Linked DNA regions of Cricetulus griseus. The protein of the gene in region 5 binds, or shares a complex with, the protein of the main gene of each other region. Links are inferred from orthologs where the notes say so. Each region holds a gene or a part of one and is shown on either strand. Other genes may lie near its edges.

Region 1 (4,219 bases), on a different chromosome or scaffold from region 5:
TCCCTCTTTTAATTCCGGGCAGGAAGTGAATCAGATGCCCTACCTACGCTGGGGAAGGGGTGGGTCAAGGTCTTGAATGACTTGGGGACATTTGTGGCAGGGAGTTAAGATTGGGGGTGTGTGTAGTTCAGGAAATCTTGAGTCTTAGCCCGGTGGGTGGAACACCCCCTGCTGGACAACGGGGTATTTGTATTAACACTTGATATGCTAATTTATGCAGCCACTCAAATCAGAGTGCTAAGTTATTCCCCAGAGGGTGTGTGTGTGTGTGTGTGTGTGTGTGTGTGTGTGAGAGAGAGAGAGAGAGAGAGAGAGAGAGAGAGAGAGAGAGAGAGAGAGAGAGAGGGAGAGAGAGAGACTCGGTAGGTCAGCTCTTCGCTGGGGTTCTGTTAGGAGGATAGGGTGTGTGGATGCCGAGGGAGAAGAGTGGAAGGGACCAGGTGAATGAATCTTTCGTCTTTCAGTGCTACCTTCAGACAGCAGTCAGGGGCAGAGAACAGGTAAGGTTTCTCCTCCAGATCTCAAAGTCCTCGTCTGGAAAATAAGGACAGTAATAGTTTAGTCTGGGGAGAGCTGTGTTAAGCAAATGTTAAGTAACCACTCAACGTATATTTGTTGGACACCTACTAGGGCGGGCAGGCATTATTCTTTCTAGAGCGGCGTAACCACTTTATGCCTTGGTACGTGTCAGATCCTCTTTGTAGATGTCTTCTCTGTGGAATAAATGGATTTATTAGTACTTGCCAGGTACTATTTCTTCATGTGGGACTGCGATTGAACCCATGGGCTCTCGATCACTTTCTTTTACCAGAACCACCCCCAAGCCCTGCTATGTATCTTTGAAAACACTTTACAGCGACTGGTGTGGTTTCACACACCTCAGGGAGGCAGAGGCAGGAGAACTATAGTTTGAGGCCAGCTTGAGCTGGACAGTAGGATTCTGTCACGAAAGCAGCCACTTACCCTGTCACTCATCTACTCTTCAGTCCGATGAGGTGTTATAACTATTTTCTAAAGGAGGAGACAGGCCCAGAAAGGTTAAGTCATGTGCCCGAGGTCCTATCAGCGAGGATCTGAGCCCGGGAAGGATGACGACAGTCCTGTAGTCCTGCGGAGGAGTGGACCCGGGTGACCGACCGCGACAGTCAGCCCTGGGACACGATGGGTGCTCCAGAGTTTGGAGGGCATGGTGGGAGAGGTGGCGTCAACTCCGGCATGCTGGTGACACGGCTGGGTGGGCACTGGCGAGGTCTGGGCGCCTGTGGCGGGGCGTGAGTGAAGGTGGGGTGTGTGAGAGCCTGCGAGCCGAGCGTGGCTGTGTGTAAGCGGCCACGTGCGCGTGTGTGCGTGCATGCGTCTGTGCACGTGGGACCGGGGACTGCGTGATCCTCCATCCCCCGGTGCCCCGGGTTAGAGGACCCGCGGGGGGACTACCACTCCCGGCATGGCCCGGGCGCCCCGCCCCGCCGTCCTGATTGGCTGAGATCCGCGTGCTCCCGCCCCCCGGGAATGAATGGATGGGCGGCCTCAGCGCCCGCCCGACCGCTGGGAGGACCGACCCGGCAGGGACCTGCTGGGGGCAGGACCCGGGGAGCAAGATGGCCACGGTCATCCCCGGCCCCCTGAGGTGGTGCGGGCGGGCGAGCGGGCGAGCGGGGCGAGTGGGAGGCGGGGGCGGGTCTGCGCGGCCGCGCGCGCGCGCGTGTGCGTGTCTCTGTGTGTGTGTGTGTGTGTGTGTGTGTGTGTGTGTGTGTGTGTGTGTGTGTGGCCGCTGGGGGTGGGGCCGGTGGGGTGTCAGGGGGCTGTCACCGTGTGCGAGCGAGCGAGCGGGGGTGCGAGCGTGTGTGACTGCGGGTGTCTGGCAAGGGTGATGTCCGGGGCGGGTGCAGGGCGTGGGGGAGGGGTCCCCCAGGGCTTCCAGGGGACGGGGGTCATGTCCCCTCCCGGGGATGCCACGGTCTGCAAGAGGGGGAAGCGGCGTAGGGAACCTGAGTACACGCGAGTCGAGCCCACGCTACCTTTGTCTTGGGGCGTGGAGTGTGTTGTGCGACTTGTGCGTTGCTTTTTTGTTTTGTTTTCTGGCCGGATGTGTGGGTATGTGCGTATGGTTGTCTCTTTTATTCTGCACGGTGCCCATCTGGGCATTCGGGTCCCCTCCGAGTGTGTGCGCGCGCGTCTGCTGAGGCTGCACCCTCGAGGCTGCGTCTTTGCACGGGGAGGTGTGAGGCTGGGTGCGAGCACGGGCGGACCTGGCTGTCCCTCCGTCTCCGAGGCGTGTACCTGTGCTTGGGAATGCGCTTCGAGTTTGGGGTCGCGTTTCCCCCCGGGTGTGAGCGTGCGCGCGTGTGACTGCGTGGTCTCTTTGTATCGTGTGTTTGACACCCCGTGTCTTTGGAGAGAGGTGTGTGGGCAAGCCGCTTTGGACACCGTGCGACTGTTGCGACGTTTGCGCGTAGTACGTTGCCACGCCGGGGGGCTTTGTGGACAATGTGTTTATCTTGGGGGTCTCTGGATGCGTGGCGTGCAGAGGTAGTTTTATGGCCTGTTTCTGACCCCAGTCTGTGTGTCTGTGTGTCTGTGTGTGTGTGAATGTGTTTGCTTCTCCTTTGTGAATTTTGGGATATGTTTCCCTTTGTGTGTGAATCCCGTGTGGCCATGTGCGATTTGTTTGTTTTGGGTGTTTGGCTACGTTCGTGTGTGCATGGGTCCCGCTGCTGCTGCTGCTGCTGCTGCTGCGTTTCGCTCTGTGAACACACTTCTTACTTAACCTGAGACATAATCAAGTTCCAGGTAGCGGCCTCCCAGCCAGCCAGCCAGCCAGCCAGCACCCCGCCCCGCCCCCGGGTCCCCAGGGATGGGAGGAGGAGGAGGGGGAGGGGGCCCTGGCTGGTTCGCCCTTTGCGGACCGGCGGCGGCGGGAACGGGAGGCCCGGGGCGTGGGGGGGGGGGTGGTGGTGGAGGGTGCTGGACCTCCCTGGCTGACAGCCGCTCGCCCGCTGCTCGCCCGCCCCCCTCAGCCTCGGCGAGGACTTCTACCGGGAGGCCATCGAGCACTGCCGCAGCTACAACGCGCGCCTGTGCGCCGAGCGCAGCCTGCGCCTGCCCTTTCTCGACTCGCAGACCGGCGTGGCCCAGAACAACTGCTACATCTGGATGGAGAAGACCCACCGCGGGCCTGGTACCCGCCGCGAGGCTGGGGCGGGGCGGGGCCTGCGTCCCGGGGCCGCACGCTCACTGCCGCCCTCCCTCCCTCTCCCTCCATCCCTCCCTCTCCTCCAGGTCTGGCCCCAGGACAGATCTACACTTACCCCGCCCGCTGTTGGAGGAAGAAACGGAGACTCAACATCCTGGAGGACCCCAGGCTGCGGCCCTGCGAGTACAAGATCGGTGGGTGGAGCTGTGGCCCCTGCGCCCGCTGTGGCCCCCATCGAAGTCCTCAGCCCCACTGCTGTCAGCCAGAATGTAGCCTTTATTTCCCCTGGGTGTCTCCACAACAGGCTATCTGTGTCGTCGTCGTCCCCCCCCTCCCCGTGTCTTGAGTTACTTCCTTTGAGTTTCTGAGCTTCCAGATGTACCTGCTGTGTGGGCCGTGGCGAGCAGGTGTACGGAGGACATCCTTTTATCTGTGTCTAGATAGATAACTGTGTGCGCTCCCCTGTGAGCCGGGGTACGCCCATGTCCCGCTGTGTTTCTTTCTGTGGGTGCTGGAGGGCATCTGGCTATCTCCCTGTGTGTTTGGATGACTTAGTAGTGTTTCTCAACCTGTGTTTTGGGGTTGCGTATCCGGTATCCTGTATACCAGGCATTTACATTACGATTCATAAGGGTAGCAAAATTAAAGTTATGAAGTAGCCACGAAATAATTTTGTGGTTGGGGGGTCATTACAACATGAGGAACTGTATTAAAGGGTCACAGCGTTGGGAAAGTTGAGAACCACTGAGTTGAGTGTCTCATTGTAACTGTTGCTGAGTGTTTTAGAATGCCTGTTTCTTTCTAGGTGTTTCCAAGTGTGTGTGTGTGTGTGTGTGTGTGTGTGTGTGTGTGTGTGTGCTGGGACTGTGTATATCTACCTCTTCTGGGGGTATATATGGTTCCACCAGAATGTCCTGCTGGGGTCCTGATGCTGAGAAATTGCTATGGAGATTTTCGGCTTGTTTCTGTGTTAGGTGCTTCTTGAGGTGTGTGCTAGTTCATAGACTGACTGGAGTTAGTGCTTTC
Region 2 (4,126 bases), about 380 Mb from region 5:
GGTACCCACAGACAGAAGCGGAAGTCCTCATTCGGTGGCCTTTCTCTCCTCTGGGTGCCCAGTGCCCCTCCCTCACTTTGATAGCCAGGCCCACCACTTGTATTTTTTGGTGAGGCAGGGTTTGGTCATGTGAGGAAAGAGACAGGCCTAGAGGAGAAGTTGAGGGCTCTGCTGTTGTGTGTCCCTACCTTAAGGGACCACAAGTTGAAGAAGAGGGCCTCCCCACCCCTACCAGGCATTCTTCCCAGGCCAGAGCTCCAACCCTTTGCAGGACTTCTCTGACTGCACTGTCTGTCTCTTGGCCTCTAATCCCCAAAAAGGACTTGTGGACAGACCACCTGTGTGCGTTGGCCTGGAGCCAGAGAGTGGGGCTATAGCATCTCTGAGAACTCTTGGTTCTCTAGAGTTCTGTAGACAGCAGACTCCCCAGAAGGAAACAGGCACAAAGCTGAGAAGTATCCACTGGCTGGGGGACAGCAGGCGGGGCTCTGAGTGACGCATGCCTCTGGTCTAATAAACTGGGTTTCAACCATCTCCTCCTCAGTGTTGTTCTTTTTGGTTGAAGAGTTTATAAGGATTACCATTAGAATGCAGCCTGCCTTGAGGGCCATGTTGACTAGAGTAAGGAATTTGGGTAGTCCAGTGTGGTGGCTACACCTGTAATTCCAGCACTTAGGAGATGGAAGCAGGTATCTTTCATTACAGAGCGAGTGTACTACTAGGCTGGGCTACATGAGACCCTACATATTTGATCAGGTAAACACTGGTCCTCCTGGAAAAGGACAGGTTCAGGAATAGTTTGAATCACTGGGCAGTGAAAGAGCAATGAACAGCAACAGATTTCCAGGACCTTCGGAGAGGATTCATGGCCAAAATTCATTAATATCTGAAGGCAATGGTCTGAGATGAAGGGTGAAGTTCCCGCGTCGGAGAGTTATTGAGCCATTATCTGTGAAATGAAGCCGGGGCTACCAGCCAGGAGACCAGAATCTAGGATGGCTTTTCTTTTAATTTGCTGGTTTGTCTTTGCCAAGACATTTCCCTCCTTTGAGTTCAGCTTTTCCGTTTGTAAAACGAATAAACAGCACGTTTCTCTCTTTCGTACCCGGAGTTCGAGCAGTAGGAGAATGGAAAGCAAAGCAAACAGAATGCTTTGGAAAGGCAAAAGCACTGTGTTGAGATGACAGTGTCTCCAGCCTGCGGTGTGCGCTCGTCTCTTTCCAACGCCTTGTCGTCCTCCGCCCGCCTGGGGGCGCCCGCTCCCGTCACCTCTCTATCCGCACATCACTTCTCTATGGTGCCCCTCCTGTGCCGCGAAGGCGGGAGGGAGTGGTCAGCACGCCTTTTCCGCTAGTTGCCCCCTCTAGGCCTTAGTCTCGCTGCCCCGAGCCGCCCGTGCCCGCCGGCGGGCCGGGCCCACAAACAGCCCAGGCGCTCGGGGGGCGCGCGGGGGGCGGGGGGAGTTCCGGTTCCGGTTCTTTGTGCAGCTGCTGCGGCGGCTCCGGGAAGATGGCGGCCCGGGCGGGTTTCCAGTCTGTGGCTCCGAGCGGCGGCGCCGGAGCCTCGGGAGGGGCGGGCGTGGCGGCTGCTCTGGGCCCGGGCGGAACTCCCGGGCCTCCGGTGCGAATGGGCCCGGCGCCGGGTCAAGGGCTGTACCGCTCCCCGATGCCCGGGGCGGCCTATCCGGTGAGTGGGGCAGGAGGAGGGGCGCGTGGGCCGGGGGCGGGGCCGAGCGAGGGCGGAGAACTGACAGGGGTGAGGGAGAAGTGGGAGGGCCTCCCTTGGGAGGGGCTCGGGTCCTGGATGGAGGTGGGGGAAGCAATGCCGAGGAAGAGCGCGATTGGGGGAGGAGGTTAGCATCCTCACCTGCTCCCAGCGGCATTGTCTGCTTTTGAGGAGTGAGTGTGGAGCCAGGGTGGGTGAAGTGGGCCCGGAGGTGGGCAGCTCAGTGTCCAGAGGAACACTCAAGTTAGAGCTGCACGTTGAGGAGATAGTTAGCTGAGTAATAAAGTAAATGTAGAGATGTCTGGTGAGTCAGATCCCACATATTCCAGAAAATTTGAGTCTGATCTGGTTTTTAGACCCTATATTCTATGAAACCACTACCAGGCCTGAAGAAGGTCCAGTTACCGTATTTCAAAGAGGCAGAAAGAAGGCTGTGTGATTGTCCTCCACCCTACCTCCCCCACCCCCATCCTTGTTCATTCCAAAAATTCAGGCTTCCATCACTTTTCGTTTCTTGGTGGAGCTGTCAAGGAAAGGTATGACATCTCTGGGCCCTCTCCATTCTGTAGAGACCAGGCATGCTGCCAGGCAGCCGGATGACACCTCAGGGACCTTCCATGGGACCTCCTGGCTATGGGGGGAACCCTTCAGTCCGACCTGGCCTGGCCCAGTCAGGGATGGACCAGTCCCGCAAGAGACCTGCGCCTCAACAGATCCAGCAGGTCCAGCAGCAGGCGGTCCAAAATCGAAATCACAAGTAAGATGACGCCTGGGGTGAAGGAAAGAAGCTACTGGGAGACCTGTGAGGATTCAAGTGGTGGGAGTACTGAACCAGGAAGTGGTGGTGCTATGTCACCAAATGGTGCTGCAGAGACTCACCCTTGTGAAGGCTTCCTGGTGGAGGTGGAGAGGGAGTTGATGGTGATGAGAAAGCCGTTTTGCAGGCCTTAGCTGTGCCATCAACAAAGGTGCTGACAGCTTAGCTCATGTTCTGACAGTTCCATCCCACCCTGATAACAGTATTTATTCCGAACAGTGCAAAGAAAAAGAAGATGGCTGACAAAATCCTACCTCAAAGGGTGAGTGCAGGCTCTAGAGGTCTTCTTCTTGAAGATGTAGTGACTGAGAAAGTACAGGTGGTCAGCTCTAGGGCCCAATCGTATCTTTCTGTTCCTAAGATTCGGGAATTGGTACCAGAATCACAGGCCTATATGGATCTCCTGGCTTTTGAAAGGAAACTGGACCAGACTATTATGAGGAAACGGCTAGATATCCAGGAGGCTTTGAAACGTCCCATCAAGGTAACACAGGAAAGCACTGGGCAGTGGGTCAAGGGAGGGGACAGGAACCTTCTCCAGGCTTAGGATGAAAATTCAAAGGCACAGCATAGCCCTCCTTGGCATTTAAATTGCATCTTTCCCTTCCGCCTACAAACCAGGAATTACATTAGGAACATAAGAGTAGAGCAGCTGGCAGGGAAAGGGGCGGGGGAGCTTTTGATGTCTCTTGCACCAGAAATATACCCTGCCCATGTTTTTGCTATAACTACTTGCTACCTTGGGAACCTGCCACTTTGTATGGTTTTCTTCACCTGGTATCCCAGCATATTTATTTATGCTCAGGCTCAGGGCCTGTATTCTTCTAAGTGGAGTATTTATTCACCTATCATAAGCCAGCCTAGAAAACCTTTGTCTTTAACATCAAACTACTGAGGCTCCATCATCAATCCTGTTTCTGCCTTCCTCAGCAAAAACGGAAGCTGCGAATTTTCATTTCTAACACTTTCAATCCGGCTAAGTCAGATGCAGAGGATGGGGAAGGGACGGTGGCTTCCTGGGAGCTCCGGGTAGAAGGACGGCTCCTGGAGGATGTGAGTTGAAGGTCCACTGTGTTGGTGTTGTATTCAGGGTGGGAGCTCTTGGTGATGATCAATGTTGTATGGTCAGCAGGAAGCCTGACTGGTGCTTATAGGTCCTGCTGGGAGCTTCCGGAAGCAGAGGGGGGGTGGGGAGAGGGAGAAAGACCCTGTGTTCCCTGCACACAAAGACAATGGTCCTTTGTATCTGCTCCCACAGCTTCACTGGTATCAAATGGAAACCATTATTGTCCTGGGATCTGACTGGATGTTTACTCTGTCCTGGTGATGCTAGCCTTTGGATTTAGCAGCATCTGCAGATTACTTCTGTAGTCCCTCATCCCCACCTCCTGAGTCTATGCTTAGCATTTGAGGCCATGTTCCCTCTCTTAAGTCCTGGAAGTTATTTCTGTCTTCCCAGCTTTCATTGGAGATACCACAGTTTAAGTATGATAGAATTCTCCAAAGGCTTGGGCTCTTTGTTGCTCTAAGGGGAGTATCAGATCAGTGAGAGCCCCCACACTTCCCACCCAGCAGCTCCTTAGG
Region 3 (3,486 bases), about 270 Mb from region 5:
GTATAACTCAGATAAAGGCTGGTGACTGTAGAATGTATTCTGTAGACATACTAAATGGAGTACGGCACTTGCAGTTTTAAAGAGGTTCTAAAGCCAGGTCGGAAAAGCTTCCCAGAGCCACTGTGCACAGTAGGGATTGTGGAACCTGATACTCTCCTGGCAGGCAAGCATTTACACATTGTTGCTGTGCCAGCTGGTGACTATTCCAAATCCAGTTGTACCAGATGGTTGGGCCCTCTGTCCTTTCCTCTGTTGGCCAGATTGGAGTGCTCTGGTTATTAAGTAACTGATACTACCTAAGCAGGTCAAGACAGTCTCAAAAGACTGTAACTTTTCAGACTCAAGAAGAAATATTTCAAATTAAGTTGCTACCTCTTTCTGCTGATCTCTGGAAAAAGACAGCACTAAGAGATTAAAATCTGGGAAATGAGACATTTCTCTCTGACTTTTTCTTTCAAGGGTATGAGTTGCTACTAATGAAATAAATCAACTTGAAGATGTTTAAGGTCATAGTTAATTTCAAAAAAGGTTCTTTATTGGCATAAAAATGAAAGTGTAAATAAAATGGCACCAGATATCCCAAACTGAGGGTCAGGTCAAAAACCTATTTTATCCCTCTTTGCTGTTTTTTCCCCTTCTGCCCACTTTCCTGGGTGTTGGGGGAGCTCGCTGACAACAGTCACAAATCCAGCGACCTAGGAGAAAAATTGTTAGTTAATATGGAGTGGAATTTTATTTTTATAGGACTGAGTACAAACCACCTAAACTCATTCCTGAGCTGTCCATAGTGATAACTCTCTGGGATTTTTTTCAGTGGGGAGGGAAGTACTGAGCTCCTTAAGCCAAGGGAGAAAATGTAAACAACCCTTAATCAGTGTAACCAATACAATTCGGAATTCAATGCACAGACAAGATGGGGAAAGGGCACAAAACAATCATTTGTACCTTAAAAAAATATGTAATCCTAAAATTCAAATACCATCATGCTTTTAAAACCTCAACAACACAATCCTAATGTAGAACTTGTTAATGGATCTGGCTTTGTGTGGCCTGTTCCACTGTTCTGACACTAGCACCTGCACCACACACTTGAGCTGAATTACTGCAGAACCTGAGTGATTATTCACATCCTTACGGAGGGATTCCAGGAAACTGAGTTTTATAGAGAACTATACAGTGTTAACTATGCAACTTAAGTCCTTAAAATTGCACAATTACCTGTATAATGTTTCAATAGGATTACTGTGATTTACTATTTGATTCTGTGTCCATCCTAAAGTTTTCTGGAATTGTCATGCTGCCTCACTTTATAGGAAGATGTCTTAGTATATATATAAAGGCATAGCAGTCACTTTGTTAAGTTTCTAAATAGACGAACTTAAAAATAAAATGAAAGCATTGAAACAAACTGGTGGTGTTACTTTAGCAATTTTAGTAGAAAACACCAGCTCATTCTATCCCTCAGACAATACTTCCAAACCTAACCTAAGTATTCTATTTCAATTCTCCTTTGGTTGCACTAAGGATGAAAATCAGGTAGCTGTGACATGGACAGTAACAGCTTGATCATAATTGGAACATGTTCATGTCATTTATACAGCCTTAAAAGAATGCTGGGAGATCTTCATCACACAAGATAATGGGCTTTTTTGTATTTTTTTCATCTTTACCTGATGGAATAGCACCAAGGCCCACACAAAAAGTATGATAACCTCTGTCACACACATCACAGAACATCATTTCTTCTTCATGGTGGGGCTGTCCACATATAATGCATGTCTTACATTCCATACACTGCCATGGGTAGGTCTTAATTATAGAAACAAGCTCCATGGTCATATCCAAGCAAGAAGGGTGGCCTAAATCAAAACCAACATTAATAGGATTTCACAACAGAACTTTCAACTTAAGGCACATAAAACATTAGTTCCCAAGAATGGCTGCCAGGATTAATGTTACCATAGACACATCAAAATACAAAGTAGCAGATACATGGGTTCTGACTACAGCTAACAAGTCACTATTCATTTGCTGACTCTTTGGTGGATACCTAGCTGATAACTACAAACCCTAGCTTTTAAGGCAATATGCAGGGGTGAGGTAAAATCTTAAGGAGACATCTCTACTTACCACTGTTATCACACTGGGAGCAGTGTATAAGTGATTCAGCCTTTCCTTTCTTGTTGGATTCCTTACCCTTCAGACAAATTCCACATAGAGCATTTGGAATGACCTTTGGCTGGAAGGGTAGAAGAGGGCTATAAATTCATGCCAGAAGAACTCACTATGGGTTCAAAAGGGATTCTGTTATTACCTTATCTTTACTTTTGGTAATCTGATAATGAAAACCTTTTTGTAAGACATAACTGGATATGAGATGGATCAGAATATAAAACCCCCAACTAATGAAAGCCTAGACTGTACTCCATAAACCGCATCAACGTGTGTTGCCTAAATGTAGCACTCTGCTCCCTACACACACAGCATCATCTCTATAAAAAAAGACCAGAAGGAAAAATGAAATAGGATGTCAAATGCCACTAATAGTTGGGAAAGAAAATCCATATACCAAATAACCACACATAAAGCTAAGCCTAAGTTTTAAGCTTATATTAAGCTTATGTTCATTTTATTTCAAAAACTGGTGTTTTTCCAGTGATAGAGCTAAGCCTACAAAATCTAAGCTAAAAAAAAAAAAGACACTATTTCAGTATTTTAATTGGAAGCTGTCTTGTCCATACATTGTCATGCATAAATGTCTATAGAAATCTGAGTTGGATGCATAGTCTTGTTCCATGTCTAAAAAGAACTATGATAAAAGAGAGAAGCAGTCACTGTGACGTGTAAAACATAAAAAGTTTTTGGGCATGGAAAAACTATAGTCAAATAGGAAATATACAAAGCATATTTTGAGTATTATCTTTCACATTAAAAACACACACAGTATTTGGGCTTTAAACATGGAATGGGATAAAATATAAGGAGTTTCCTACACTTACAATGCCAGGGCAAGGAAGGGATAACAGAGCATCATAATCTTGACCGTCACGGACGCTGCTCACATGTACTATATATAGGTGTGCGTCAATAAATGGTTAAAAGGTGGGAGGGACAAAGATGGTAGCAGGGCAATAATCTAACACAGTCAAACGCATTGCATCTCTTTCCTGATGCACCATAGAGATCTAAACTCAAACTTTTATAAAGCAGTCTCACTTTAAATGTTCCACTGCCACTTTCGTACCTTGTCAAACCTAAATAATAATTTGCTTTTACTTTTTTAAAAATATTTTCTTTGCAAAAGATGACAGAGGCATTCAAAAACAATTTTTGGCTTATTTATTTTTTTAAAAAAGTCAACCTTATACATAAATATGATAAAAACAATATCTAAACAATCACAAATGTCTCTACAAAATAATAAATATCATGGAGTTAAACAAACATATAAAATGTCCCCATTGACTGCTCTCCATCCTCTGTGTA
Region 4 (3,500 bases), on a different chromosome or scaffold from region 5:
TCATTTCATGGATAGCCCTCGATGAACACCTTTTCAGAGGCATCTGCTGTCATATACCCTGGACTTCCTTTCCCAGGACCTCCACTTGCCATCTAACCACCAATGACTTTCAAATCCATATCTTGGACCCAGACCTCTGTCCTGATCTCCAGCCTCCAGGACATCCATCCCTGGTGACCCTGGATCTATAGTTGAGGCTGTCCTCTCTCTTTTCTACCCTCATGGCCACTTTTCTGACCATGTCTCAGTGGCTAACTATGCCATAGCCCAGGCAATGGCACCAGTCAGTGACTATTTCCTCATCGCACTGCCACAGCCTTACTCCAAGCCTTCACCAGTGTGACTGTCTTCTATTTCGAGAACCAACCACTCTCTTGCTCCAGTCTCCAGCTAGGGAAGAGGCTTTTCTTAGCATCTACATTAAATCCTGAAGGAGTTTGAAGATGCAATGGATGTTACCACCCAGTACAGCTGTTGCCCATTGCACAGATGGAAGAGTGGAAATTCAATACATGTATTAGGTCATTGCCATGGGGTGGAGGGTCAGAGAAATCCGTAAGATCACTGGCCATGAGAGACCAGGACAAGGAATTTCTGTGAACTTGAATGTAAGGTAGCTATCAGGGAAGACTTCTAAAATAGTGAGTTAAGAAGAGCCCCGAGGTGGTGAAGGATTTATATGGTTGGGAGAAAGAGGGTGATTTTCAGGTGTTAATAAAATATAAGCCGCATTTAAGGGACAGCGAGGACTCCAAATGGGGCCTAGAAAGTTATCTATGGAAATAAGAGTAGAGGAATAAGTGGGGGGAAGACACTGTCCTGGAGTAATTGTATCTCTCTTCCCCACTTTACCCCTTTTGTATCTGCCAGGACCAGCTACTCTTCTGCGATGACTGTGACCGTGGTTATCACATGTACTGTTTAAATCCCCCAGTGGCTGAACCCCCGGAAGGTAATGACGATGAACTCAACAATAACAACAACAACTACCACGCCTACCCCTTATTGGTCTCTTACTATGGTGCAGGCCTTGTGCTAAGGGGGTTTTCATGTTTTGCCTCATTTCATTATCACAGTCCTATGAGGTTAGGTAGAGCTACTCACAGAGGACCAATGACGAGACTGAGGCATAGCGCAACCAGATGACATTCTAACCAACGGTTCAAGGAGATATTTCTCAGATGTGTGGCTGCAATAGCGGGGAGGTGTGAGTTTCCAAGGGAACTGGCACAGGTGTACCAAGGCTGGCTAAGAGGTGTGACAAAGCGGTGGGACTCTTTATATAGTTCCTCTGTTACCTCTGAGCACCCACTTTACACTGAGCAATGGACTTCACAAACCTTCAGGGCTGAGACTTGGTCTCTGATTTGTGGAAATCAAAGGCAAATAGGAGTCACCAGACATTAATGCCTTTAGGCTGGGGCCCAACAGTTAGAAAGGCTGCTACTAATGCTATATTGTCTCTTATAGGAAGCTGGAGCTGCCATTTATGCTGGGAGCTACTCAAAGAGAAAGCCTCAGCCTTTGGCTGTCAGGCCTAGGGCCTCAGGTCACTGAGTGTGACCAGCCACCAGAGAGGCTGAACTGGAGCCCTGTTGGATCCAGATGGAGTTCTCCTCCTGCATATCCACACAGACCAACTGTAAGGAAAATGAATAGTTATGGAAGGACATGAACTCGTGGAACCAAGGGGGCAAAGTCTCTACTCACCTACTGCCTATGACCGCCAGCCCCACACGTGGTACTTCAGCCTGTCCTTCCTCTTTCTACCAGAAGGAGCTTGTGCTTCTGAAGAACAATCCAGCCCCAGCCCTGTGTAAACTTCCTCACATTCGCCCTCACAGTACATGCCTCTCCTTGCTTCCTATTTTAGAGGAAGCCATTTTTTGACTGCTCACCAATCTCTTGTGTGTTATTTGGTGGTGTTGTTTTTTAATCTATTGTGTTTCAAGATCCCTTCACAGTCTCTTCACCTTTAGCTTAGGCTCTTCATCCTAAACTCTCACAGAGGAACAAGACGCTGTGGAGAAGTTGTTATTTTGCTACAAATTTCACCGGAAATGGCTACATTTGGAGGCCATCTTGAAGACGGAAGGTGGAAACCTCTTGGTTAAAGAGATTTGTAGTTTTTGAACCTGAGCAGTGGTATGAATAGCTGGCATGGTCTCCATCCACTGCACCACCACCTGAGGAGGGGTTGAGAGGGCCCGAGAGATGGGAGGGGAAGCTGGGAACCCAGCATAACCAGCCAGTATTTGCTGTTCATCAAGAGAGACTTTGCAAGGGACTCGGTGGTTCCTTGACCTTCAGACCTGTGGTGTCCTTGAGGTGAGACAAACCACAGCCTACAAACACAGAAAAGTGATGAAGATTCCCAGTGCCTCCCAAATGAATTGAGTGTCAAGGCCTGGCTCAATTTCTGCTGATGGGTCTCAAGCATCAGAGAGGTGGGCAAAGGCTGCCCATTCAATGGTCCAATGTTGGATAAAAGAGAGTGTTGGTTTGAGAAACACTTCAGTGTTAATGCTAACTATGAATTCCTTTCCCGGGCAATTTCCTCCTTCCATGTTTGCCAGTGACTACTGAGATGTGACTGGAAGTTTTAGAATGGAGGAGAGATGATCATTACTTAACTAGATCATTGAGCATGGTGATTACTTGTGACCAGGTGGCAATGATTCAGAACCCTCACCTGCTCTTGTACCTTAATCCTCCCCCCATATGAGCTGGACTCCTGTTTGAAATAAGAAAGTTTCCAGAGAAAGAGGTAGGGAGGCCTAGATTCCGAGAACTCTGTGAATCGGACGACAGCATTGTGGGCTGGAGTGGGTTGGGCTGTCTTTGAATCACAGCATGACAACTGACACATTTCTGGAAAAATCATTTGCCCAAAGGGCAGGTCTCAGTGAGCAGGACCCTCGCGCATGCTCGGCTTCCCTGAAATCAGCTCCATCGCTGTGGTCCAGCAGCTTGCAACAAAGGCCTGGGTTATTTTTAGTCTTCAGCTCCTGAAGAAGCCCCTGGAGACCTGGGCTAGTTGGGCCACTCTGCCCAGATGCAGCAGTGCCTCTACCCACACCACAGGAGTCATCCTCCCCCGGCTAATTGCTCTTGGCATGTGGACCCAGGGCAGCCTGGCATGGAGCCAAGCGGTGTGCACCCTAACCCCCACTCCTTTGCAGAGTGACCTGTGGCAAGAGAGTGGGGGTCATTCTCCTGCAGGCCTTGTGGCCTCAGAGCTAGTTAGATGCATACATAATGATCTCATTTAAAGGGCCCCTGTCCAGACAGTGTTTTTGCCTTCCTCACAAGCTCTCTCCTTCCTTCTGTTGGTTGCTGAGCCTGTGTGGATTCTAAAGGCCCAGGGAAGGGCAACTCCACAGAGAGGTACATTCCCTCTTCAGAATCTGCTGGCTTGCTCTTTCTTCCAACAACACCTTAAGCAGAATATCCTCAAAGACTAATTACTTGGTTGGGGATTCGTTTTAAATTAATTTTAG
Region 5 (3,500 bases):
CTTCCTCACTGCCTTGCTTTTCTTTCCAAGGAACTTGTCTAATGGTAAGCACCACGATGATGGTGGAGCAAAAACTGAAATCTAGGATGCAGAGGAGCCACATGGCCAGAGCCTAGATGTTTTTTTTCTCTATTAAGCACCCAGTCCAATGTCATCCTTAGGTTCCAATGTTCCTCTAAAGAGACAAGCACAGAATATCCAATAATTAATGTTTTCATTAGTTAGTTTCCCACTACTGAGGCCTCTCCAGCTGATGAGTCATCTCAGGAATACACTCCTCTCTCAGAGGTCAACAATGTGTTTACATCTACCTTCTGGGGTCCATGCTAACCTAGGCCCCACCTCCTCTGAGAAAGGAGGTTAGGCAGAAGAAGCATAACCTCATCATAAAGTCCATTCATATCCCCTTCCTACCCCTCCCTTCCATTCATTACTGTCTCAGCTCTCTGGGGAATTTAGGGCTCTTTTTCTGAGCTGCATTCTAAGGCACTGACATCAGCAGGCCAAAGCTCCCAGATGGCCCAGCCACACTGCGATTTGTCAGTTTTCCCTCACTACTCTGGTGTCCCTCCCACTCACTAGTTTACAAACATTTGGCAAGATGCCAGGTGTACAACAGGAAAATTAGAAAGTGAAAACTTAAGGCTTCTGCATAGCACCTCCCAAGGGAGTCGCCACTGCTGCTCTTTAGTCTGCCAACCTGCTAACCCACGTGGATGGGTAAAACACACATCTCTGGCAACTGCTCTGCTCCCTGGAGGGAGGGAGGGAGGCACCACTGCTTAAGGAACCCTGCAGGCTCTTAAGGATACCATCCTTGGGGGTGCTTGTCCACTCTTACCAGGAGAGGGAGGCTGGATCTTGGGCTGGGACTTCTTGGAATCAGCAGCTGCAAAAATGTCTGGGGGAGGGTCTTCTCCCCGTTCGATCTTGCACTCAAAGGCGTAGAGACACTGGATGTATTGCTTCTTCAGGGAGCTGGCTGCACTGCTTGATGTACCCACATTGAGGTTGGTTGCAAGTTCCCGCCATTTCTTGTTCTTGTTGACCTGTAAGACCACCAGAAGAGTCAAAGTATACTCTGACCTGGCCTTCCAACGCACAAGCTATGAGCCCAAGCTGGTTGCTGCAAGAAACATATAGTTCCAAGTAACTGCAGGTACACTGCTTATTCAAAAGGCAATCAGGGACATTGGTGGCGCATGCCTTTAATACTAAAACTCGGGAGGTAGAGGCAGGCAGATCTCTGTGAGTTTGAGGACAATATGGTCTGCAGAGTTCCAGAGCAACCTCCAAAGCAATACAGAGAAACCCTGTCTCAAACAACAAAACAAAAAATATAAAAAACCAACAAAAGAACAGGGCATCAATACCGGAACAGAATTCAGCATATGGTCTTTATCTCCAACCCTCACCCCCTCATTGACTCTGTCAGGCTAAGGTTTTTACATGGCTGCCTTCCTTCAGTGTAAGGGTGACAACTAAAGTCGGTTGGTTCACAGTTCTGCCCCTATCTCCAGCCCCAGCGTACATTGACCAAATCCATTTCCCAAGTGTTCCTTCTAATTTGACCTGTGCTGCCTGGACAGGTTTCCACTGATTATTCTTAAACATGATGGCAAACTTAATCTATCTAGTGCTAAGAACACTGATATTGAAGTCCGATCCAAAGAAAGACCATTGGGTTATGATATCAATGCTAGCTGTTTAGGGAAACAGAGAGGAGACTGAAGGGAGGTAACCAACAATAATCCTTCCTGAGGTGGTTATGGTGAGTGTAACAGACATCTAGGCTGTCTGGTGTAATTCTGCACATCCACCCTCACCCACCCACGTCACCTGGTTGAGTCTACTGGGATGGCCCCCTTCACTGATCAGTCAGAAGAGCTCAGGGCTCAGTCTTGCCTTTCTCAGCTCTTCACTTAAAGACAGTTCTCATTGATTTTAGAATACAATTAGTTAATTACTTAACAGCAACTAAAAAATTCCCCTTTCAGCCAGTTGGTGGTGGTGCATGGCTTTAATCCCAGCAACTTGAGAGAGGCAGAAGCAGGCAGATCTCTCTGAGTTAAAGGCCAGCCTGGTCTACAGAGTGAATTTCAGGACAGGCTTCAAACAAAGCTACAGGGAAACCCTGAAACTGTCTTGAAAAAACAAAACAAATTTTCTTTTCAAATTGGAATACAAGCTTAGGATCAGAGATTCCTTCTACAGCTTGTCCTGTGTTCAGTGAGTTCGGGGGTCCAATAGTCAGAAGAAAGGCAAAGTTACTAAGTAAGCAACCAACCCTCCTTACCATAAGCAGCACACTAGGCCTAAGAGTTAGGAGGAGGAATGCATCCTGTATCACCTCAGCAGCCCCAAGCAGGTTTGCTCCCCACTTCAGTTATATGGCAGTTTGCATATGCCTTTGGGGAGGGTGTGGGGGAGGTGACCGAAGCCTTAAGGGAGAAGGAATTCATAACTGACTGTTAGCCGGCTTCTTTCCCCCTAGTGACACCTGTGTTCCTTTTCTGATTTAGGTATGGAATACACCTCTCCCTTTCACAGGCTCTCCCATCCCCACCCAGGAATTTCTGGTCTGGACAATAGAGACAACTCCTCTGAAGAAAAGTATGTAAGGGTACACTATCAGTCAGTGAGTGTAGCCTCACCAGTGTCTCTAGCCGAATGCAAATAAACCTGCAAGTACACAACACGACTGAACCATTCTCAAGTCTTTTTATACTTTTGTCTCATATATAAAAGTATACTTTTATACTCATATTTTATACTTATATGTCTAGTATAAAATAATTAGACATATAAGTTTTCACAGCTCTACTTCCTCAATAACTACTCTGAAATTCTACCTCCCCCAAGACGTTTCTTGAATTCAAAGGGTGAATGAATCTGCCTGGAGTGCCAACTTACAGACCAAGTAATTTGGTGGGGCCCTTGCTGAAGCTTTCCACTCATTATTTCTAACACTTGGCAGGGCGGAAGGTTCCATGTGGTGCCTGTTTTACCATCAAGAGAATTAAAGCTCATATGGTTTGTAGAACTTGGTTAGGCTCACATGTTTCAGCCTGTGGGATGCATGATCCCATCAGAAGCCAGTGGACAGTGCTTACCTGAGTCAGTCCACCAATCTCCTTCACAGACACATAGAGGCGATAGAGGTCCAGAGGCTTCCTGCCCACAGCGGGCAGGTTCGTCATACCCATGGCCTTCTCCTCTGTGAAGGCCAGGTATCGGTCCACCCACATCTTCCTCTCTGGCTCGCCACCCAGCTCATACAACTTGGTGATCTTCTCATTGGTTGTAGTAGAAGAGCTGGATTTCTGAGGAAAGGGTCAAAAATTAAAGTCATCAAAGCCAAACACAATGCATATGAAGGGTGCCAGAGACCCCTTCTTCTCTGTCCCCTCCCTTTAAGAGAGCAAGTCTTCTAAGAGCCCAGAGCTGGTGGTGGAATGTTCCTGCTTTGGTCTCTTAGATGCTGGGATTATATCCCAGAA
Region 6 (3,500 bases), on a different chromosome or scaffold from region 5:
TGGTGCTTCCCTCAGGAAAACTGTCATCAGTACAAGTGTATGCCCCTCCATCACATTGGGCTACTTGATCCAGAGAGTGTTCACTGCTTCCTCCCTGACACAAGCTTCTGAAGGGACTGTGAGTCTACCTTGGCATCCATCTGCTGTAGTTCCTTGTATGATCCTGTGTGAAGAAGAGTTGTTTAAACATTTTAAGTGCAAGGTCATAATGTTTTCTCAGCATAACTTAATTAGCAAGTTAACTTGACTGTACCGTGTGTATGTGTGTGTGTATACACATATGTATACTTATGTTACATATGATTGATGCTGTCATTTAAACCCAGCATTGCATTATGATAGTGATAATCCATGTTCTCACCTCATTCTTCTTTTGTGCTTAAATGAGAATCTAAAGCTGGGACTTGGGTGCACTGCTTCCATGCTTAGAAAATGCATTGTCCATCTTCCAGGCAGCCAGCTTCCAGGGAGCTGCCTTCTCAAAGTGCCCACAGTGCAGAGTTTCTGTGTGCTGCCTGGGGCCTTTCTTTGCCAGGAAGAGAAATGTCCTTCTGGAGGCCAGCCGAGTGGCCTTGGCTCCCTGGTCACAGGCTTCCTGCATCAGGGATGGCACCCTGGGGCAGGCTGTTCATGATCCAGAAAGAGGTTTCTGATGATCAGTGGTCTGTGTGCCAGCTCAGCCTTCTGGTTTGTCTTTAATCCTCGAATTGGTTTTTTTGTTCTTGGAGTGGTTGGAATAGATTTTGGTTTGGGTTTTCTTCATTTATAATAATTCTAGAATGTCATCTACTGTGAAATGTTAAGTATGGATGAGCAACAAAGCTGCTTCAAATCCCACCAGTGCGCTATAGCCCATCCTTTCTAAATCTGATTAACACCGAGCACCTGCCAAGCAGCAGGGGCGATTACAGGCTCATCTTTTAAATTCCTTTTGCGTTGGTGCCTCCCCCACTTTGCTACTGTGGGAAACTCAGCATACAGCATGGAGAAGTTAAGAAGTCACAGCCTCACTTGAGTTGTATTAGTATTAATTACCTGTGCAGATCTTGGATAATTGAAACAATTACTCTTCATTTCAGCTCCAGGGCCTGGAATGGATGGTTTCCCTGTATAATAACAATTTGAATGGAATCTTAGCTGATGAAATGGGGCTAGGCAAGACCATCCAGACCATTGCACTCATCACATATCTGATGGAGCACAAAAGACTCAATGGCCCCTATCTCATCATTGTTCCCCTCTCGTAAGTACAGTAATTTATTCCACAGTCATCACTCTCTATGTTGGAGATTGCCCTATCAGTGGCTCGCCCTTGTTTCCCATTTCAGATAGAAAAGTAGTATCGTTTTGGAATACCAGGAATACATAATCTGAATATTGGTTTTAATTTTCCACCCAAGCCCACCCATCCCACTGCAGCCTTTTGGCTGGCTAGTAAAGTACGTCTATGTAGTCATTCTTATTGGCCATTAACATTTTACACCCTGTAGAGCAATCTCAACCTTCCTCGTGCTAAGACCCTTTAATACCCTTTAGACCCTCATGCTGTGGTGACCCCCCCACACCATAAAGTTATTTCATTGCTACTTTGGAACTGTAATTTTGCTATTAGGAATGGTGGTGATATGCTGGATATCTGATTATGTGACCCCATTGCCCAAAGGGCTCATGACCCAGAGGTTGAGAACGGCTGATGTAGAATGGGTCCGAGTAAGTAGCTTTTTGAAGGGAAAAGTGAGAGCATTTTTAGAGCTATTTTCCTTGATGTACTTACACTTGTACACCTTCCTTATTGTATCTTTAAAATCATTGCTGTGATCTCTGCATCAAAGTAAACTTTGTATGTACACATGGCGTTTCAATGGCTCGTTGCTCCAGAAGGACAGTCTTTGCTGTTTCTAGCACAGCCCCAAGTCCTCGCCCACTGGTGGCTCCGGCTGGTCTTTACCCAACAATCTTTGAGCCACCCTCCCTGGGAGTGAAGTGCTTCTATGCATGCGTGTCAGGGTGACACTTTACTCACTGAGATCTTGTCATGGATTGCAGTCCTGAGACAACTCAGACCTTCAGGAAGAACAAGGCTGTTGATTTTGTATTTCCTTCCATTTTTTTTTTTTTCAAAAGAAGGCTCTGACTTATCTGCCTCCATAATATTTACATGCCCTTTGCATTAGACCTATATTTGCATGGTCTGACTTGGATATTTTGGTTACACTTTTGGGGTTTAAAAAAAATCATTCAGTATCTCTTGCTTCTTTTTGATAGACCTACTTACTGTTTCTTATGGTTTTGTAATTTCTCTTCCCCATATGAAGTTCTTGGAGCTTACGTGGCTAGTTGTGACAAACCCAAAGCATCAGTGATTGTTGGTTTTCAGAAGCACAGGAAAACTCTGGTGTTTTGTACCACACATAGTTGTCCAGTTTTGAATTGTTTTTTTATGAGTTTTGAAATGTAGAATTAACACATTTTGTGGCACTTCATTTCCAGCTTACCTCCTATCTCCATACCTTTAGCATAAATATGTATCTGGGGTATTTTGTATTTTTTAGCCCAGTTTAAGGCAAGGGCTAAAAATAAGTAACAGTTTTCTATTAACTGAATTTATATACATGGGTATGTGTGTGTTTACTGTGTTTTTTGTTGTTGTTTTGTAGGACTCTGTCTAACTGGACATATGAATTTGACAAATGGGCTCCTTCTGTGGTGAAAATTTCTTACAAGGTTTGGAGCTTTAATATTTATATATAAATGTGGAAAAGCAAAAAAAAAAATTGGGCCCTCTTTTCTTCATTCTATATGCACATCTGTGAACTGTATTTGGTTGTAAAGTTTTGTCATGTACATCATGTACTAAACAGTGAGAGTTAATCATCCCAAGAAGATTACTGTAATAAACCATAATTACTTTCAGATAGTGAAATGCAGAAGAAAATTGTTAATTATCATATTGCGAGGTTTCTGATGAGAGTAATACAAATGACAAATACCGCACTTTCTGTGTGCTACTGACTGCCTCACTGTGGGCTGCTACTGTGCCGAATGTTCCTGCAAAGTCAGGCAATTACTGGGGCGCTGGGGCTGCCTGCTGCACGCTCCCACAGAAAGGGAGCTTTTCAGCCAAGCAACGGGTTCCCTGCTACTGCAAGCTTGCTGCAATTTCCTTCTCTCTTCTCCTTTTTCGGCCTTAAGTGGGAAGCCTTCCTGAAAGGATCTGGAAAGGGTCAAGATATGTGTGGTTTAGCTACCACTTTCTTCAGGGATAATAGAGCAGTATATGGTAATACATTTATGTGCATGTCACCTGTCTAGGTTCCATTAAGCTCTGAACAGTGAGAAATAGCACCTATGTACTTCCAGTGGGTAATCAATGTATTTTTCTTTCCATTCAGGGTACCCCTGCCATGCGACGCTCCCTTGTTCCCCAGCTACGGAGTGGCAAATTCAATGTCCTCCTGACTACTTATGAATACATTATAAAAGACAAGCACATTCTTGCA

What was found.
Region 1: Arid1a (region 5) and zinc finger protein neuro-d4 share a complex: the UniProt entries of both Homo sapiens proteins name them as parts of the neuron-specific chromatin remodeling complex. The link is inferred for Cricetulus griseus from reciprocal best matches to the Homo sapiens genes ARID1A and DPF1.
Region 2: Arid1a (region 5) and Smarcd1 share a complex: the UniProt entries of both Homo sapiens proteins name them as parts of the neuron-specific chromatin remodeling complex. The link is inferred for Cricetulus griseus from reciprocal best matches to the Homo sapiens genes ARID1A and SMARCD1.
Region 3: Arid1a (region 5) and Phf10 share a complex: the UniProt entries of both Homo sapiens proteins name them as parts of the neural progenitors-specific chromatin remodeling complex. The link is inferred for Cricetulus griseus from reciprocal best matches to the Homo sapiens genes ARID1A and PHF10.
Region 4: Arid1a (region 5) and Dpf3 share a complex: the UniProt entries of both Homo sapiens proteins name them as parts of the neuron-specific chromatin remodeling complex. The link is inferred for Cricetulus griseus from reciprocal best matches to the Homo sapiens genes ARID1A and DPF3.
Region 6: Arid1a (region 5) and probable global transcription activator SNF2L2 share a complex: the UniProt entries of both Homo sapiens proteins name them as parts of the neuron-specific chromatin remodeling complex. The link is inferred for Cricetulus griseus from reciprocal best matches to the Homo sapiens genes ARID1A and SMARCA2.

The regions. Positions count from the first base shown.
Region 1 is NC_048602.1:6,521,092-6,525,310, reverse strand, and holds the start of zinc finger protein neuro-d4, read left to right. Parts: upstream 1-1,419; 5' UTR 1,420-1,517; coding exon 1,518-1,630; intron 1,631-1,929; exon of another isoform or gene 1,930-2,790; intron 2,791-3,017; coding exon 3,018-3,178; intron 3,179-3,279; coding exon 3,280-3,387; intron 3,388-4,219. UniProt on the Homo sapiens protein: May have an important role in developing neurons by participating in regulation of cell survival, possibly as a neurospecific transcription factor. Belongs to the neuron-specific chromatin remodeling complex (nBAF complex).
Region 2 is NC_048595.1:396,140,286-396,144,411, forward strand, and holds the start of Smarcd1 (SWI/SNF-related matrix-associated actin-dependent regulator of chromatin subfamily D member 1), read left to right. Parts: upstream 1-1,326; 5' UTR 1,327-1,509; coding exon 1,510-1,686; intron 1,687-1,878; exon of another isoform or gene 1,879-1,898; intron 1,899-2,294; coding exon 2,295-2,482; intron 2,483-2,761; coding exon 2,762-2,804; intron 2,805-2,903; coding exon 2,904-3,026; intron 3,027-3,472; coding exon 3,473-3,595; intron 3,596-4,126. UniProt on the Homo sapiens protein: Involved in transcriptional activation and repression of select genes by chromatin remodeling (alteration of DNA-nucleosome topology).
Region 3 is NC_048595.1:293,991,631-293,995,116, forward strand, and holds the end of Phf10 (PHD finger protein 10), read right to left. Parts: intron 2,240-3,486; coding exon 2,131-2,239; intron 1,860-2,130; coding exon 1,671-1,859; intron 1,409-1,670; exon of another isoform or gene 696-1,408; coding exon 610-695; 3' UTR 501-609; downstream 1-500. UniProt on the Homo sapiens protein: Involved in transcription activity regulation by chromatin remodeling. Belongs to the neural progenitors-specific chromatin remodeling complex (npBAF complex) and is required for the proliferation of neural progenitors.
Region 4 is NC_048598.1:120,509,408-120,512,907, forward strand, and holds part of Dpf3 (zinc finger protein DPF3), read left to right. Parts: intron 1-870; coding exon 871-952; intron 953-1,470; coding exon 1,471-1,541; 3' UTR 1,542-3,500. UniProt on the Homo sapiens protein: Belongs to the neuron-specific chromatin remodeling complex (nBAF complex).
Region 5 is NC_048595.1:19,582,495-19,585,994, reverse strand, and holds part of Arid1a (AT-rich interactive domain-containing protein 1A), read right to left. Parts: intron 3,324-3,500; coding exon 3,114-3,323; intron 1,050-3,113; coding exon 842-1,049; intron 1-841. UniProt on the Homo sapiens protein: Involved in transcriptional activation and repression of select genes by chromatin remodeling (alteration of DNA-nucleosome topology).
Region 6 is NC_048596.1:34,699,164-34,702,663, reverse strand, and holds part of probable global transcription activator SNF2L2, read left to right. Parts: intron 1-1,079; coding exon 1,080-1,243; intron 1,244-2,657; coding exon 2,658-2,724; intron 2,725-3,392; coding exon 3,393-3,500. UniProt on the Homo sapiens protein: ATPase involved in transcriptional activation and repression of select genes by chromatin remodeling (alteration of DNA-nucleosome topology).